2 linked regions of the Lonchura striata genome follow. The protein of the gene in region 1 interacts with the protein of each later gene in a pairwise test. Links are inferred from orthologs where the notes say so. Each region holds a gene or a part of one and is shown in the gene's direction. Other genes may lie near its edges.

What was found.
Region 2: the proteins of PTPN11 (region 1) and TLK1 interact in binary tests that used the Homo sapiens proteins (3 or more experiments, as listed by UniProt). The link is inferred for Lonchura striata from reciprocal best matches to the Homo sapiens genes PTPN11 and TLK1.

Annotation. Positions count from the first base shown.
Region 1 is NC_134620.1:11,592,015-11,599,130, reverse strand, and holds the start of PTPN11 (tyrosine-protein phosphatase non-receptor type 11), read left to right. Parts: upstream 1-4,105; 5' UTR 4,106-4,224; coding exon 4,225-4,238; intron 4,239-7,116. Other genes in the region: RPL6 (large ribosomal subunit protein eL6), read right to left, coding at 28-180, 572-756, 1,264-1,312, 2,204-2,347, 2,701-2,799, 2,890-3,138. UniProt on the Homo sapiens protein: Acts downstream of various receptor and cytoplasmic protein tyrosine kinases to participate in the signal transduction from the cell surface to the nucleus. Positively regulates MAPK signal transduction pathway. Dephosphorylates GAB1, ARHGAP35 and EGFR.
Region 2 is NC_134610.1:20,256,008-20,263,386, reverse strand, and holds the start of TLK1 (serine/threonine-protein kinase tousled-like 1), read left to right. Parts: upstream 1-4,376; 5' UTR 4,377-4,457; coding exon 4,458-4,605; intron 4,606-5,037; exon of another isoform or gene 5,038-5,079; intron 5,080-7,379. UniProt on the Homo sapiens protein: Rapidly and transiently inhibited by phosphorylation following the generation of DNA double-stranded breaks during S-phase. This is cell cycle checkpoint and ATM-pathway dependent and appears to regulate processes involved in chromatin assembly.

The DNA of each region.
Region 1 (7,116 bases):
GAGTTTAATGTGGTGCTTCCAGAAGGCTCAGAACACCAATTTGTGAGGATAAACTCCATTTGAGAGAGAGAATGTGGAGCGCAGGTACCCCCGGAGCTGAGGCACCTTCTTGATCCGTGCCAGGATCTGGGAATCCACGGCCTTCTGGTCTGTCTTGCGCTGCTCCGTCAGCTCATATTTCTGCAAAGCACAGAGAACAAGATGAAAATCCTGGGAGCAACTGCAGGATCCTTTAGAGAGAGGAGGAAATTCAGTGTAAAGCCTGAGTTTTAGGATTTTAAAGAAATCTTTCCCCCATTTGTTTTTGATAATGAGAAGGTGGTGCAGCACTGAAGCATTCCTTGGAGCCAACGCTGACAGCATTTCTTGGTCAAAAAAAGACATTTAACTGGAATAGTAACTCCTCTTCAGAGAAAAATCTCTGCATTCAGAAGGGGGAGTACCTCCTTTTAATGGCATTACCTCACTTTATTAATGACCACTTAAAATCAACCCGGCTTTTTTCATGCTAATTTCCTCTTTCCAGTCTAGCCTGGAGCATTGAGAAAGAAGGAACCACCCTGTCCCTTACTTCTTTCTCAGTGTCAAAGATCTCTCCTTCCTGGTGCTTTGGCTTCCTCAGCCGCTTCTTCTTGAAGTAGGAATCCGTGAGATGCTTGGGAATTTTCACCCCAGTGAGATCCACCTTTGTGGATGTGGCAATAACAAATTTCTGGTGGGCCCTGCGCAGTGGGACACGGTTGACAGCCAGGGGGCCTGAAGGTGGAGAAGACAAGAGAGAACAAGGTCAGCTTCTCTGGTGAAAACCACTTCCTTAAAGCTGAATTTTTGTAGTCTATGTGAGGACCAGTTCCTTCAGAGCTGCCTACAGATAAAATCTCAACAGTCAAACCCCTCTAGAAATACAAAAATCCTTTCTGAGCTCTTTCAGTTAGTCAGATCCTGAAACTTAAATCATCTCTCCTCCACCTCCCTGCAAAGTCACAAATGGCAGAATCATTCAAGTTGGAAAAGATCCCCAAGATCATCAAGTCCAACTTCTGACAGATCACCACCTTGTCAACTAGAGCAGAGCACCAAATGCCACATTCAGTTGTTCCTTGAACACCTCCAGGGGTGCTGACTCCACAAATATGATTCCCCACTGATGTGCCAAACCAAACATGTGCAGATGTGCTACTGACTCGACACAAACTAGAACTCAAAAAACCCAAAGAAGCCCCCAGAACAAAAGTACCATGTTTAAATATATTTTTTTTTTACCTGTAACAAGCAGAAGGCCAGTATCAAGCTGCTTCAGGAACACAACACGCTGCAAAGAAATGAGATGGGACATCAATCCTCAGGTCCCAGTGCTCCCATACCATAGTCAAACTGGGATTGTGCCTCTGTTCCTGGTACAAGTACTGACAGTGCTCCAGGCATGGGTCAGCTGTGCCACCTGAGGAGCTGCCAAATTGTGATCCAAGCTCCAGCACCTCCAGGTGCCTCCTCTCCAATAATGTGACTCTCCATGAGCTTTCTCTTTCAAGGCTAAGCAAAGCCAATTACTTGTTTTTGCTTTTCTCCCATCCTACAGGATGGTAACAGCTATCCCAACACTGAAATCCTTTGAGTTACAGGCAAGAATTGGATGAACACCACAAGGACTCTATAAATTCACACAGTCAGAGCCATTCCCCCATTGTGTTTTGCTCCTTCTGGTCAAGGCTTCCTTCTCTGGCAGCATTCTTTATGAAATCATGAATGTCAAAGAGAGAGAATTCAAGAAAATAAAGGATACCACTTGTGTTGGTGACCATCCTGAGGATGGGGAGCCCAATATAACGATTCAGTGCTACCCTATAATTAGATTAAGAATGAAACTTAAATTTTTCCTCTAATTTTTCCTTTGCAGTAACTGCTGCAGGACAAAGTTTTGTTTTTGTAGGAGCAGCAACAGAAACAGGCACTGGCTTTGCTCTGCAGCAAAACTCTCTGCATTGTGTCCAAGCAACTAGCTGAGCCTGTTTTACTTCCAGCTCTGCTCAGAACAACCTTAATTCAACAAACATTTCACCCCTGCCACCACTAAAGTCCGGACGAGGAAACCACCCCGACAGAAGTCGCAGATTTACACCCAGCAGGGTCAGACAAAATCAGCTGGGAGATTCAGGGGTGTCTGAAACGCTGCCAACGCCCTGGCAGCAGGAGCTGTGCCCACCTTGCCGCGGTGCCGGCCGGTGAGCAGGATGAGCACCGTGCCGGGGGTGATGGACGCCCGCAGGCGCCGCTTGTGCTCGCAGAACGGCTTCTTGCCATGGCTCAGCAGCTTCCGGGGAACGTCCTCCGTGGGGTAGTACCTGGGCTGGAACAGAGGACAACCACCTTGTACCACCCGCGTCTCACAGCATGGCAGCTCCTCAGGAAAGCTCTCCCTGTTGCCCTGAGGTTCAGCTTTCTGAAGGATTTCTGCTTCAGATGAGCTTGGGAACACAGTGAATGTTTTGGAATAGTGTCCAGCTCTGTATTTGTGCGTGCTTCCACCTCAGCACAGCAACATGCTGGACAGAGAATTCCCACCTGAATTCCCACCACCTCCCACGAACTCACAGAAAGCACACCACAGGCTGAGGGCCCTACATCATCCCAGCATGAGGCTCATCACCCAGCCTAAAGCCCCCTGCACCAAACCACGAGCATCCCGGTGCTCTTCCATACCATCTTCCGGATTTTAACCACCCGGCTGCCTCCATTCTTGTCTCCACCCACTGGCTTGGTGATGGTGGCACGGGGCATTTCCTTCTTCTTCTTCTCTATCTGTGTGCAAAGAACAAGGAAAACTCAGCACATTTCACACTAAAGGCAGCACGATAAACCCGATTACTGCCCCAGTGCTCCCCACCCTACCTTTGTCTCTGGGGCCGTGTACTTGCGCTTGTACAGGGCTTTCCTGGCGTACATGGCTGAGCGGGAATACCTCCCGATGCCCCGGGCCAGGACAGGGTTTCGGCTGGCATGGTACTTCTTCACCCTCTTCTTCTTGTCCCCCGCTGCTTTCTGGCTTGGCTTCTGCTCCGCCAGTTTCTTCTGTCCTGCCTTCTTCTTGGCCGACTTCTTCTCACCCGGTTTCTTCTCCGGCGCCTTCTCACCCGCCATCTGCGATCACAGTCGGCAGGGTTTAGAGCTCGTTACAAAGCACAGGAAATAAAATAATCCAAACAATCCTTCACACCTTTCCAGTAGCTGTCAGCCACCTCCTCCAGCCATAGCTGACCGAGTCCTGCTCCCTGTGCGCCCCTACATGACTTGAAATGCTCCTGCACGCTGCTCTCAACAGCTCCAGCGCCCATTCGGTGGAAACGCACACACACCCCGAGCCTGCAGCCGCCGCTGTCCCGGTTTGGGACTGCCCCGGCCCCGCGGAGCTGCCGGGCCGTGCCCCAGCGGCAGCCCCCGTCCAGCCCCAGCCCAGCTCCCGGGAGGCTCCGCCGCGGCCTCCGCATCCCGCCGCGGCCTAGCCCACTTGGACCGGCGACACTCCCACTCCTCCCCGCCCCCGCGCCCATCCGCGCCCCTCCGCCGCTCCCCGAGGCTGCCGGGCCGCGCCTGTGACCGCGGCGGGGCCGCCGGCGGGCGGATGGCGGCGGATGGAGCGCGGCGGGCCCGGCTCCGCTGGCGGCAGCTCCGCCATCCTCACCTTCCGGGGGAGCAAAAGGAACTCACATCCGGGTGCGCGGGCTAAGGACAGCGCGGCGTCTGACGTCAGCGCGCCGCGCGGGGGAGCACGGGACTCGTAGTCCGGGAGCGCCCGCGCTGCCCGGGGCAGCCCCGGGTCAGCGGCGGGGGGACACCAGACCCCGCGCCCGCTCCGGGGGCTGCGGGAGCCCCGGCCCGGGCAGCGGCCCCGCCGCGCCGCCGCCGCTTAACCCGCGTCCGCTCGGGGCTCGGCCGGCTCCGCGCCCCGCCCCGCGCGCGAGCGGGGCTGCGGTGTCCCCGCGCTCCCGCGCCGGGGGTCCCGCAGCCCCCGGGGCGGAGCGGCGGCGCGGGGCGGAGCGCGGCGCGGGGCGATGACGGCGCGGGCGGTGACGCGGGGCGGGCCGCGCCGCGCTCGCGGGCCCGAGGCCGCCGTTGTTCGCGCTCCCCGCAGCGCCCGAAGGCCGCGGCCCCGCCGGGACCCCCATGTGAGCGGCGGGCGGCGCGGGGGGGCCGGCGCACCGCGACCCGCCGGGGCCACGGGGGAAGATGACATCGCGGAGGTGAGGCGGGAGCGGCGGCCGCGCCGGCGGGGAGGGCGGCGGGCAGGGGCCGCGGCTCCGGGGGCGCCTCCGCGCCCGCTCCGGGGGTGCGGGGACGCGGCCGCTCCCTGCGGGCGGGCGGCACCCCCGGGAGCCGCCCCGGCAGCGCCCCGCTCCCGGGGGATGTCCCGGTGCCCGCTCCCGGGGGGATGTCCCCGAGCCCGCTCCCGGAGGATGTCCCGGTGCCCGCTCCCGGGGGATGTCCCGGTGCCCGCTCCCGGGGGGATGTCCCGGTGCCCGCTCCCGGGAGATGTCCCGGTGCCCGCTCCCGGGGGGATGTCCCGGTGCCCGCTCCCGGGGGGATGTCCCGGTGCCCGCTCCCGGAGGATATCCCGGTGCCCGCTCCCGGGGGGATGTCCCGGTGCCCGTTCCCGGGGGGATGTCCCGGAGCCCGCTCCCGGGGGATGTCCCCGAGCCCGTTCCCGGGGGGATGTCCCGGTGCCCGTTCCCGGGGGGATGTCCCGGTGCCCGCTCCCGCCCGTTCCCGGAGGATGTCCCCGCTCGGTCCCAGCGGAACCTCCCGGGGGTGGAGGGATCGGGTGGCTTCGAGTGTCTCGTCGCCGGTGCTCCCGGTTTTTGGGGGGTTCAAGTGAGTGTCCCCGCGGAGCGCTGGAGCCGAGGGGTGAATGGTTCGTGTGCGGGATGTGCTCGGTACCGAGGCACAGGGGTCGTGCTGCTCCGTCGGGAGGCAGCACGGCTGATTGACCCACCCTAAAACACGGCCCAGCTACAGAGCGAGTATCCCTGAGCTGCCCACAGCTGCCTTCTTAACCAGTTATCACCATTCGTTCTAATTTCAAACCCTTGTGGCGCCGTTAAAGCACTGATGAACAGCCAAACCCATTTCTTTGTTGTAGCTTCTCACTGTCCTTAAGGAATTTTGACATTTGTCTGGTACCCAGTGTCCTTTTGGGCTCAGAGATTTGGGTAAATGTTGGGTTTTAGTGGAATTATTGTCAGAAAAGGGTATAGGCATATTTACCCTTTTTAACAGATCTGTTCTAAGATTCTCAGACTGGTTTGGGTTGGAAGGGACCATAAAGCTCATCCCATTCCATCCCCTGCCATGGGCAGGGACACCTTCCAGTATCTCAGGTTGCTCCAAGCTCCCACCTGACCTTGGACACTTCCAGGGATGGGGCAGCCACAATTTCAATTCATTCACCTCTCTAACTAATACCTATTAAATTATAATTTCTTCAAGGGTAAGTTGTCCTCTCTCTTCTTCTGCTCAAGATGGTGAATCTGGATGAGTTGGTTTCAATCTCATGGCCATTTATAGTAGTTGGGTTTTTTTTAACTATATGGAGGCTTTTTAATCTATGTTGTGTTTTCTGGATATGCCTGCTCACACTGGGAACAAGTTACCTTTTGGCAGCACTGTGAATTTCCTTCTTGCCAGAAAAATGCTGTTATTCCGCTTAGAGCCCTAAATTGTAACTTGTGAGGGAGACTGAAAAAAGCTGGGAAATATCAACTGATGAGCCTATAAATAGGAGTAATTAAAGTACCCGTCAGCACATCCCCAGTGCTGTGGCTGTGACAGCTGAGACAGAACTGATTCCATCTCTCCTTTGCTCTTGCAAAGGTGATTAAAAAAACCAATCACTGCATGGAAAATTGTATTGATTTAATTCTTTTGGTTTGGTAAGAGAGAAATGTGCTGGCAGTGTGTGACTTAGGGAGCACAGATCCTGCTGGTCTTTGCTGGACCGTGATAACAAAAAAGGGATCATTGTGGGAAGGGTGGATTTTCCACTGGGGTTTTTTTGTTTTTTCATCAGAAGGTTCCTTGCTTTGCTGATACCCTCTTGGTTTTGAGCCCCTGCTGTTTCACTGGTTCCTCTCACCAACATTCCCACCTTGCTGTGAGCTAATTATGGGCTGGCAACGGTGTATTCCAAGCCCCCGAGTGGGAATTGCTGCGGGAGGGATGGTGAGGAGCCAGTCTGACCAGGGCGTGGGTTTGGGTGACTTCTGCGACCGCATTTACTGCCCTTGGCCGGGGCAGCTCTGCACCTGCTGCCACGGGACATGGGCAGGGAAAACAGGATAAAAAGCCCCAAATGCATTCCATCCCTATAAAAGGAAGTGTGAGAGCAGGTCCTGGCTCAGGGGGGGTGTCACTGCGGAGCGCTGGCCCTCGGCTGTCCCCTCCCAGCTTGGAAGGGCTGCAGCCCCAAGGTTGGGAGCACAAGGGATGGCAGCACTTCAAGGAGGATCCTCCTGGCGGCCGGAACCGCTGGCAGGGATCACTGACACCCCCATTCTGCTATTTGGGGTGGCTGACAAATGCAGCTTCCTACTCAAAGCCAAAAATACAGAGCTGAGGGAGCAGGAGGACGAGGCGCCAGCAGAGCCAGAGTTACATAAAGTGCAAGAAACCAAGAAACCCTCCCAGGTGTAGCTTGGCTTCGCTGCACTTGGCTTTTGGCATCTTGGTGTGGGTGTGGGAGAGAGATTTTGGGGTTTGAACCATCTATGGTGTGTTTAGCCTCTCCTTTAAATGCTGGTTACATAGCAGGTTATTTGTGTTCACCTCTGTACATAAATTATTAATTTTCCTTTGCTGTAACCACTCAAGTACAGCTACTTCCTTGAGGTTCAGGGTGGGATGCAGAAGATATTCCATTGGATGAAGTTTATGGAATGTCATCATAAATCTGGAGAAGCAATCCCAATAATTTCTCCTCTGCCTCTTTAGACATTTTTTTGCTATAAACTCCAAAATTTACCAAGGTTTCTCTTGAATCCTGTGCATATTTAAAAAGTTTGCAAACTGCACATTTTTTGTTGTTTTTTTTTTTTTTTTCTCCTAATGGAAGTAAAATTTTGAGAT
Region 2 (7,379 bases), on another chromosome or scaffold:
AAGGAGATGGAAGAAGCTACATGTAAAATAGATGCCAAAAGCATCAGAGGTAAAGACCCTAATGAATTCTGACTCCTGCCATTTCCCTGATTTGTAGCTGACAGAGGCTGATTTAAGTTTGGAAGCCTATGGTTCAGCATATAGTTTACTACTTTTCAGGGATATTGTCATTTCTTGTAACACTTCACTTTCTTTCCTAAAAGAACCAGCCTGCTTAATCAATTTCCTCTTCTACCTCTACTTCTTCCAATCATCTCTTGAATTGGAGGCCTTCCTTCTAATTACTGACATAATTTAAAAATGGTCTTATTTGGAACCTCTGTGTAAACATCCACTATTTATATAATCAGTTACCTGGCGTGGTCAGTCACTACGCCTCGGTGTTGCAGTATCTGCTGTTTGCATGAAACCTAAGCCAGCTAATAGCAAACTGACTTTAGTGGGAAAAACAGAAGTAAATATATGCAGTTATTAACAATATGCAATATTTGATGTTATTAGATACAAATCTTTCATGAGGACACCATAATGTATTTGGTGCCTATGAACAATGAAGGTGAAGATCTCAGAACGGGGAAGGAACTGCCATATCTCTGTAACTTGTCCCACAGTCATAGCATAGACTTCCTTAAGAACATGTGGGATAAACTCTGCATTTTGTGTAATGTTTGAAATGATGTCTCTTTGTTCTCTAAAGGATGTATGTGGAAATTTTGTAATTGACATTTGACCTGAGCACACAGTAATCTTTATAGATGCAAGGTAGATGTCTCCAAAAATTGTCACTATTCAGACCATTAATTTTTTTTCTTTAAGCATCTTCCTTTGCTATTTGCCAGTTAACTTCTCTTACTTCCTAGAGATTGTGAAATTACTGTGATTAAAGTTTCTTGCATTGATAATTCCAGTGACAAATTTGAAAGCTCTTACAATTTTAATGCTTTTCAGGATTTTGGAATAAGAAAAATTCCTTATGCTTTTCTGTTTTTCAACTATCCTCAATTAAACACTTACTACTGCCATAAACATTGCTAACTTTCATTTGACACATTCTTATGAGAAAAACAGCACACACACTTTTCACTCCTTTCTGTTCTGAGTTTTGAGGTCTTCTTCCTTAGGAATTAGCAAAACTAAATGAGTTTCCTGGGACTTCACCTGGAGTCAAGTTTTCCCTTATAGGTAGGTGTGTGGCACCTTATTCATTGTTATCCAGAGCAATCCCACTGAAAGTTGATTCCCTCTATCTACTACCTCAAGTTATGCCTGATGTTAATGGTATGCAGTGGTCACATAAACCTTGATAGCAGACTATTCTGTTCCTAAAAACTAGAAGGCAAAGAGAAAGATTTAATACTTATTGTATTTTAAAAAAATAATTAGTAATACTTAGTACTATTTGAGTTGGATTTAGTATTTAATATTTTGGGCAGGTGATGCTGACTGACTGTTCACCACTGTGAGAAAAAGGCCATTTCTCTGGCCACTGGATCATAAAGTTTTACTGCAGAAGAAACACAGGGCATTCAAGGAAAAGCATTATGTACATTTACGATGCTATTTGATAAGGGAAGTCTTTTGAAATTTGAAATTTCTGAAAGGTACTGAGGAAGGTTTCTCTCCTGCCATGATAGTATTAAATTCATAACACTGAAGCAATGGGGCTTTACAAATAAAAGGGTATTTTAAAAAAAGTGTCAGCTCTAACTCAGTAGGAAAGTAGGTTTTCTGTAAACTAAAGAGAGGAATATACCCAGCTCCATGTATTCTTGAAGTTATGTATGTTGTTTCATCTGGAGATGATCTATATAATTTACACTCTGCTTTCAATCTCTACATCAACAATTCATGAAACCAAGAGATACAGCTCTACTATGTTACAAAATGCAGACTCAACCCATACTTTGCAGCAGGTACTGTGCTCTGCTGGGAAGTCCTGTAGTGCATGCCCACTTACTCCTGGTCTCTCGATGAGGTGTTGTCTAACACATTATGAGATGGCAAAGGTCTGATTATATTTCATAGCATCAATATTTGAAAATATAAAAGACACTTCAGCATTTTTATAATATTTAATCTGCATGTCTGATAGAGGAAATAAAGAACGGGATCTTCTGCATGATGTCCTGTTACCTTAATCAAGGCAAATAATGCTTTATTTAAACAAGAAGTCTTAACTGTGTCAGTAGAATGATTTGTAGGCAACAGTTAGTAAGCAAAACTGGAAGAAAGAATGCTTGCTTATGCATGGTTTTGTAAGGATAGCAAGGGTTTGTATGAAGTGGATGCAAAGAGCTATAAACAAAGAGACAATTTCTTAATTTCTTTCACTTACTGCTTTTTACTTAGCAGATTTTGAAAGAAGCATGCTGCAGCAGGATATATTAATCAGGAAACAAGGTGCATGTTCACTTATGCTATCATGGATTGTGGGATTATGTACCTAGCAAGAATATTCTATACCAGCTGCTAAGTATTAATACTGCAGTCAGAGTGAACTAGCACTGTTCTACTTCATTCCCAAGTATTGGAAATTTCCTGATGTAATTTGCTTATGTAAAGTCTGAGAAGTCTTTAGGATCAAGTCCTTATTAAAAGCAAGTCCTTGCTGAAATACCATATCACCTCTCTTAAATATATATATATATATATATAACTAGATATATGCCCTGGAACAGACTTGTTTAGCAAGCAAACATACTAATTTTTACTTTTAGTTAATACCAAACTGTAAAGAAACTTCCAGCTATGCTGTATACTTGTGGGAGGTGAAGATCTTAGATAATTTCACAGATGTCACTTTAAAAGGAAGAGACAGAATTAGTAATATGTGTGTTGTGCAGAGAACTGCAATCCAACATTAGTAATCTATTCCTGTCATTCTCAAATAGAAGGGAAAGTAGGTTAGTAGATGGACAGGATGTCTCCACACAGCAACCACAAAATAAGTGCCATGCCTGAATGATGGATATATTCTTCATATGCATAAAATGCAATATATCCACAACCCGTTGATTTTTTGTAAGTAATCAAACTCATTGTTATCCCTGTTATATATATAAATATAAAAAAATATATTTACCAGTTGCACTGGCAAATTAAAAGGCTTTGTTTCAGAAGTGATTTTCCATATATCTCACATTCTCGGTCACTATTATGTTAATTTCAAGGAAGAAGAAACGGAAAAATTCGGCGAAGTTTGCACTTTAGTCTCTAAACTCAAGGCAAAGAGAGACGTTTTGAAATTTGCCAGGTCGCTGTTGGTGCCCACCTGGGAGCCCCAGCCTGGCGGTTGAAGCGGGTGAGGTGGTGGGCCTGGTAAATGGCTCCTGCCCGACTTCCAGTTCATCCGATGGGAGCTCCCGCTCCTCAGCGAAGCAGCTAAAGCCTTCTCCCTCGGGACATCAGCTTCTCCCGAGTGCCGCCGAGTCTCTGCTGGCACACCATCCTGTCCGGAAAAAGGAACGCCGAGAAGCGGCAGGCGCCCGAGAGCTCCCGGCGATGCTGCCTGAACAACATTCACCTGGATCGCGCTGGGAAGCGCCGGCTCAGCGCCGCCGCTGCCGCCCGCACTCCGGCAGCGGGCTGGGCTGGCCCCGCGCGGCCGCACGCCGGGGAGGTGTCGGGGCGGCGCGGCCCCGGCCCCGGCCCCGGCACCGCGCGTACCGTCTCCGTCTCCGCCGCCGCTCCCGCCCCCGCCGCCCCGCCCCGACACAACCATGGCCGTGGCGGCGGGGCGCGGGGGAAGGCGCGGCGGCACGGGCGGACCGTGCCGCCGGGGAAACCGAGACGGAGGGGAGCGCCGCGGCCTCAGGGGAGCTAGCTCCGGCCGGGCCGCGGCGGCCAGAAGGCCGCCTGCGGCGCGGAAGGTGCGCGCTTGAGCAAGGCAGGGAGGTATCGCCGCGGGACGGGCGTGCACGGGGAGAAGGGTCAGCCGGCGGGCGGCTGCGAACCGGCCCGGGTCGGAGCCCGGAGGCGGGAGCAGCCGGCGAGCTCGGGCCGCGCGGCGCGGTGAGGCTGGGGGCAGGTGCGTGCGCGGCCGACGCCGCTCCCGCCGGCCGCCCCTGGGCGGCTCCGGCTCGGCGGGGCTCGGCTGGGCGCCGGCGGAGCGCGGCGCTCGCTCGGCTCGCGATCGTGTTTGCGCATGACCCCTCCCCGCCTGCGCCCTCCCCTCCCCTCCCCGGCGGCAGCGGCGGCGGCGGCGGGGAAGGTTGGCCTCAGACACAGGCGGCTGCTCGGCGGCGGCGACGCAGTGCAGAGGTGCGGGCAGGTTGCGCTGGCCCCGCGCCCCGTCTCTCTCGCGCCCCGCCTGCCTCCGGAGCTCGCTCCCAGCCGGCGGCCTCCCCGCGCCGGTGTCGGGCCGGCCCCCCGGCCATGAGCGCGGCGCTGGGTGTCCCCCCGCCGCGCCGCCTTCCCCGCCGCCCCCGGCGGCTGCCGGGCTCCAGGAAAGTAGCTTGATGAGTGTCCAAAGTAGCAGTGGAAGTTTGGAGGGGCCGCCATCTTGGTCCCGGCTCTCCACGTCCCCACCGAGCCTGCAGGGCTGCTCCGCGGCGGCGACGGCCTCCCAGCTGCACGGCGCGCCGCCCGGCAAGCCGCCCAAGGAAGGTAACCAGCGCGCCGCGGGGCTGCGCGGGGGGCCCGGCCCTTGGGGAGGGGCCCGGCCGCCGCCGCCGGAGGCCGGTCCCGGGCCGCTGGGAAGCGGCGGCGGGAGAGGCCGGTGCCCCCGGCGGCGGCGCGGGGTCAGCGCCGGGCCCGGTGGTGGCGAGCGGAACCTCGGTCGCTGGGCGAGCGGGGCCCCGCCGCCCCCGCCCGCTCGTCGGCGCGGCGGCGCCTCGTTGTTACCCCCCGCGCCGGGCCGCGCAGGGGAACCCGCCGTGCTCCCTCCGGCCCCGGGCCGTCCGCCTGCCGCAGCCGCTCGCGTCTCCTCGGGCGGCCGCTCGCCGCGTCCTCCCCGAAATAGGCTCCCCTCCGCCAGCGGCTGAGTAGAAGTGCTGCGCCGGAGGATGCAGCCGCTGTTGCTGGAGGGAGTTGGGCACTTTTGGCATCATGGAGGTGGGAAGAGAGGGGCCGACACCGGAGGTTCGTCCCCGTGGGGAAAGCGCCCTCAGGGGCGGCCGGTTTTGCGGCCAGAAGTGACAGGGCGCCTTGCGGCCGCCACGGAATGACTGCAACTTTCTCCTGTCCTCCATCACGCCTTCGATGATAATATTTTTCTCCTCCCTCCCCTGCTCCTCCCCTCTTGTGTTACACCGACAGCGACAGCAGGGTGTTGTGGGTGTTTGCAGGGAATATCTGTATGAAGGTTATGAGCAAACAAGTCCCTTCGCTGTTCCCTTTCGGGTATTGTCTGCTTTTCCTCCTTGTGTTGTGTTGCCACAAGATGTAGCAGTTTTACAGCTAGTGAGTTGTTCGGCGCTTTTAGCTAAAATAACTACTTGCCGAACGCCGGTTAGTGGCGGAGGAGAACTTTTATGCACAAATGCTTGCATATTGAGCAGTTGTATAATTTTAATTGATTTGCCCCAGATTAATGAATACCATGTAGCTTCTGCAGAACGTCATCGCCCAAGCAGGAAACTTGCTAACTTAAAATAGAAATAGTTGCGAAGATGGAGAGTCTTTGTTTTTTAGGTCTTCCTGTGGTTGCTTGCTTGCTTGCTTTTTGGGTTTTCTTGGGTTTTTTATTTGGTTGATAAGCAATATAGGGACTTAGTAACAGGGATTCGACGTCCTTAAAATGTATAATGCAGTCTGGTTTCTCCATTTTCCACACCAGTAGTTGTCAGACTTGTATCACTCTGTGTCACTTTTGCACACGCTCCTGCAGGTAGATTGACATGAAATGCTCTAGAAAATACCTGGGAAGGAATTATGGTATATGTTAAAGATGCTGAGTAAAGTGGCAGGCATTTTGTGCTCGTCTTCTCTGGGAAACCAAAGCTGTTAGAAAAACCATCAGCAGCCAAATTCATAGTTTTAAGTTTATTGAGAGCAGGTATTTTCACTGTTGCAGCTCTTGTTAGGAATATGCATACAGATAATATGTATATGTAGGATATTTTTGGATGTATTTCAAATACCTGCCATTTAAATTTGAAATTATTATTGCAATATAAATTATCTATCTATTTATTTTAACAAAAAATGGTGGTCCATGAGTAGCTCTGTTGAGACAAGAAAAATATTTTTTGTGAAGCTCATTTTTATATGCTCTTTACATTTTTCTTTCTTACAACTCAGGCTGTTGGATTTTTCCAGGTACTGTAATTTGCATCCTCTAATACAGATTATGGGTTAAAAGTAATCAATACCTTGGTGTTTGTTTGGTACTATAATGTGTTGTATTTTTATAGTGTTCCTTGGTTGTGTTTAAATTGTGTGTCCTCACTAGGTAGCTCTCTTTGAAAATAAGCATAAGCTGCCGTGCTTGGGTTCATGTTTTGCATTCATGTTTGTGAGATGTTATCAAGGCATCTTACTTTATATATGGTTTACAAAGAAGTAGCTTGCCAGAAATCAGTAGGCCCTGAAATATAAATATATTAGTATGTTCATAGGCATTGGCTTATATATGTGAAAGACTGATGCCAGATCAAACTAATAAGCAAGGAGTATTTGCAGTACAGTGTGTTTATGGGAGCCTGGGCTGTCATCAATTCTAAACTTGTGATACCTGGGGCTTGTGAGTTTTGGAGCAGTGCACAAGGCTGCCAGCCTGCACTGGATCCCAGCTGCATTGCTGCTGGTGCCAGTTTTGAGTGGGTAATATTTACCATACAGCGCATTTGGCACTTGTGCAGAGCTTCTTTCCCAGCTTGGCCTTCTTGTTTTGGGTTAAATCCCTTTGGTTGTCTCCTGTGAGAGTTATGTCCCTGTTGCCTTTGGAAGTGCAGACCTTCATGGAGTGTACCAAGTGTGCTGTGGTTGATCTGACCTCAACTATGAAGGTCTGGTATCAGCTCACATGTCTCACATGGGCATTTGAAGATTCTGGTTTATTAAGAGCAGAAACCATCTGCACGTTGATTTAGGAAGTTCTAAAAGTATTTTCGGAATCTCTTAATAGGAAAAAAGCAAAAAATAAAAGCTCTAGCATATATGACAATTGCACAAACACATTTTAAAAAACTGGCAATATCTTGTCAATATCAAGAGACTACTTGGGAAGTATGGGTGAAATTAGAGGAAATAATAATTTAAAAATATTTTAATCTTTTAAAATGTGCTGCAACGTTGCAGCAACATTTTCCATTGGATGCTATCTTCTATATCTTGATCTAGAGTGGCCTCATGGCTTTGCTGTATTGATTTGATTTTTTGTTTTGAGGTTTTGAAATGAAAAGACTGGGATGGACTTGAATACAGTTGCAGCTGTACAC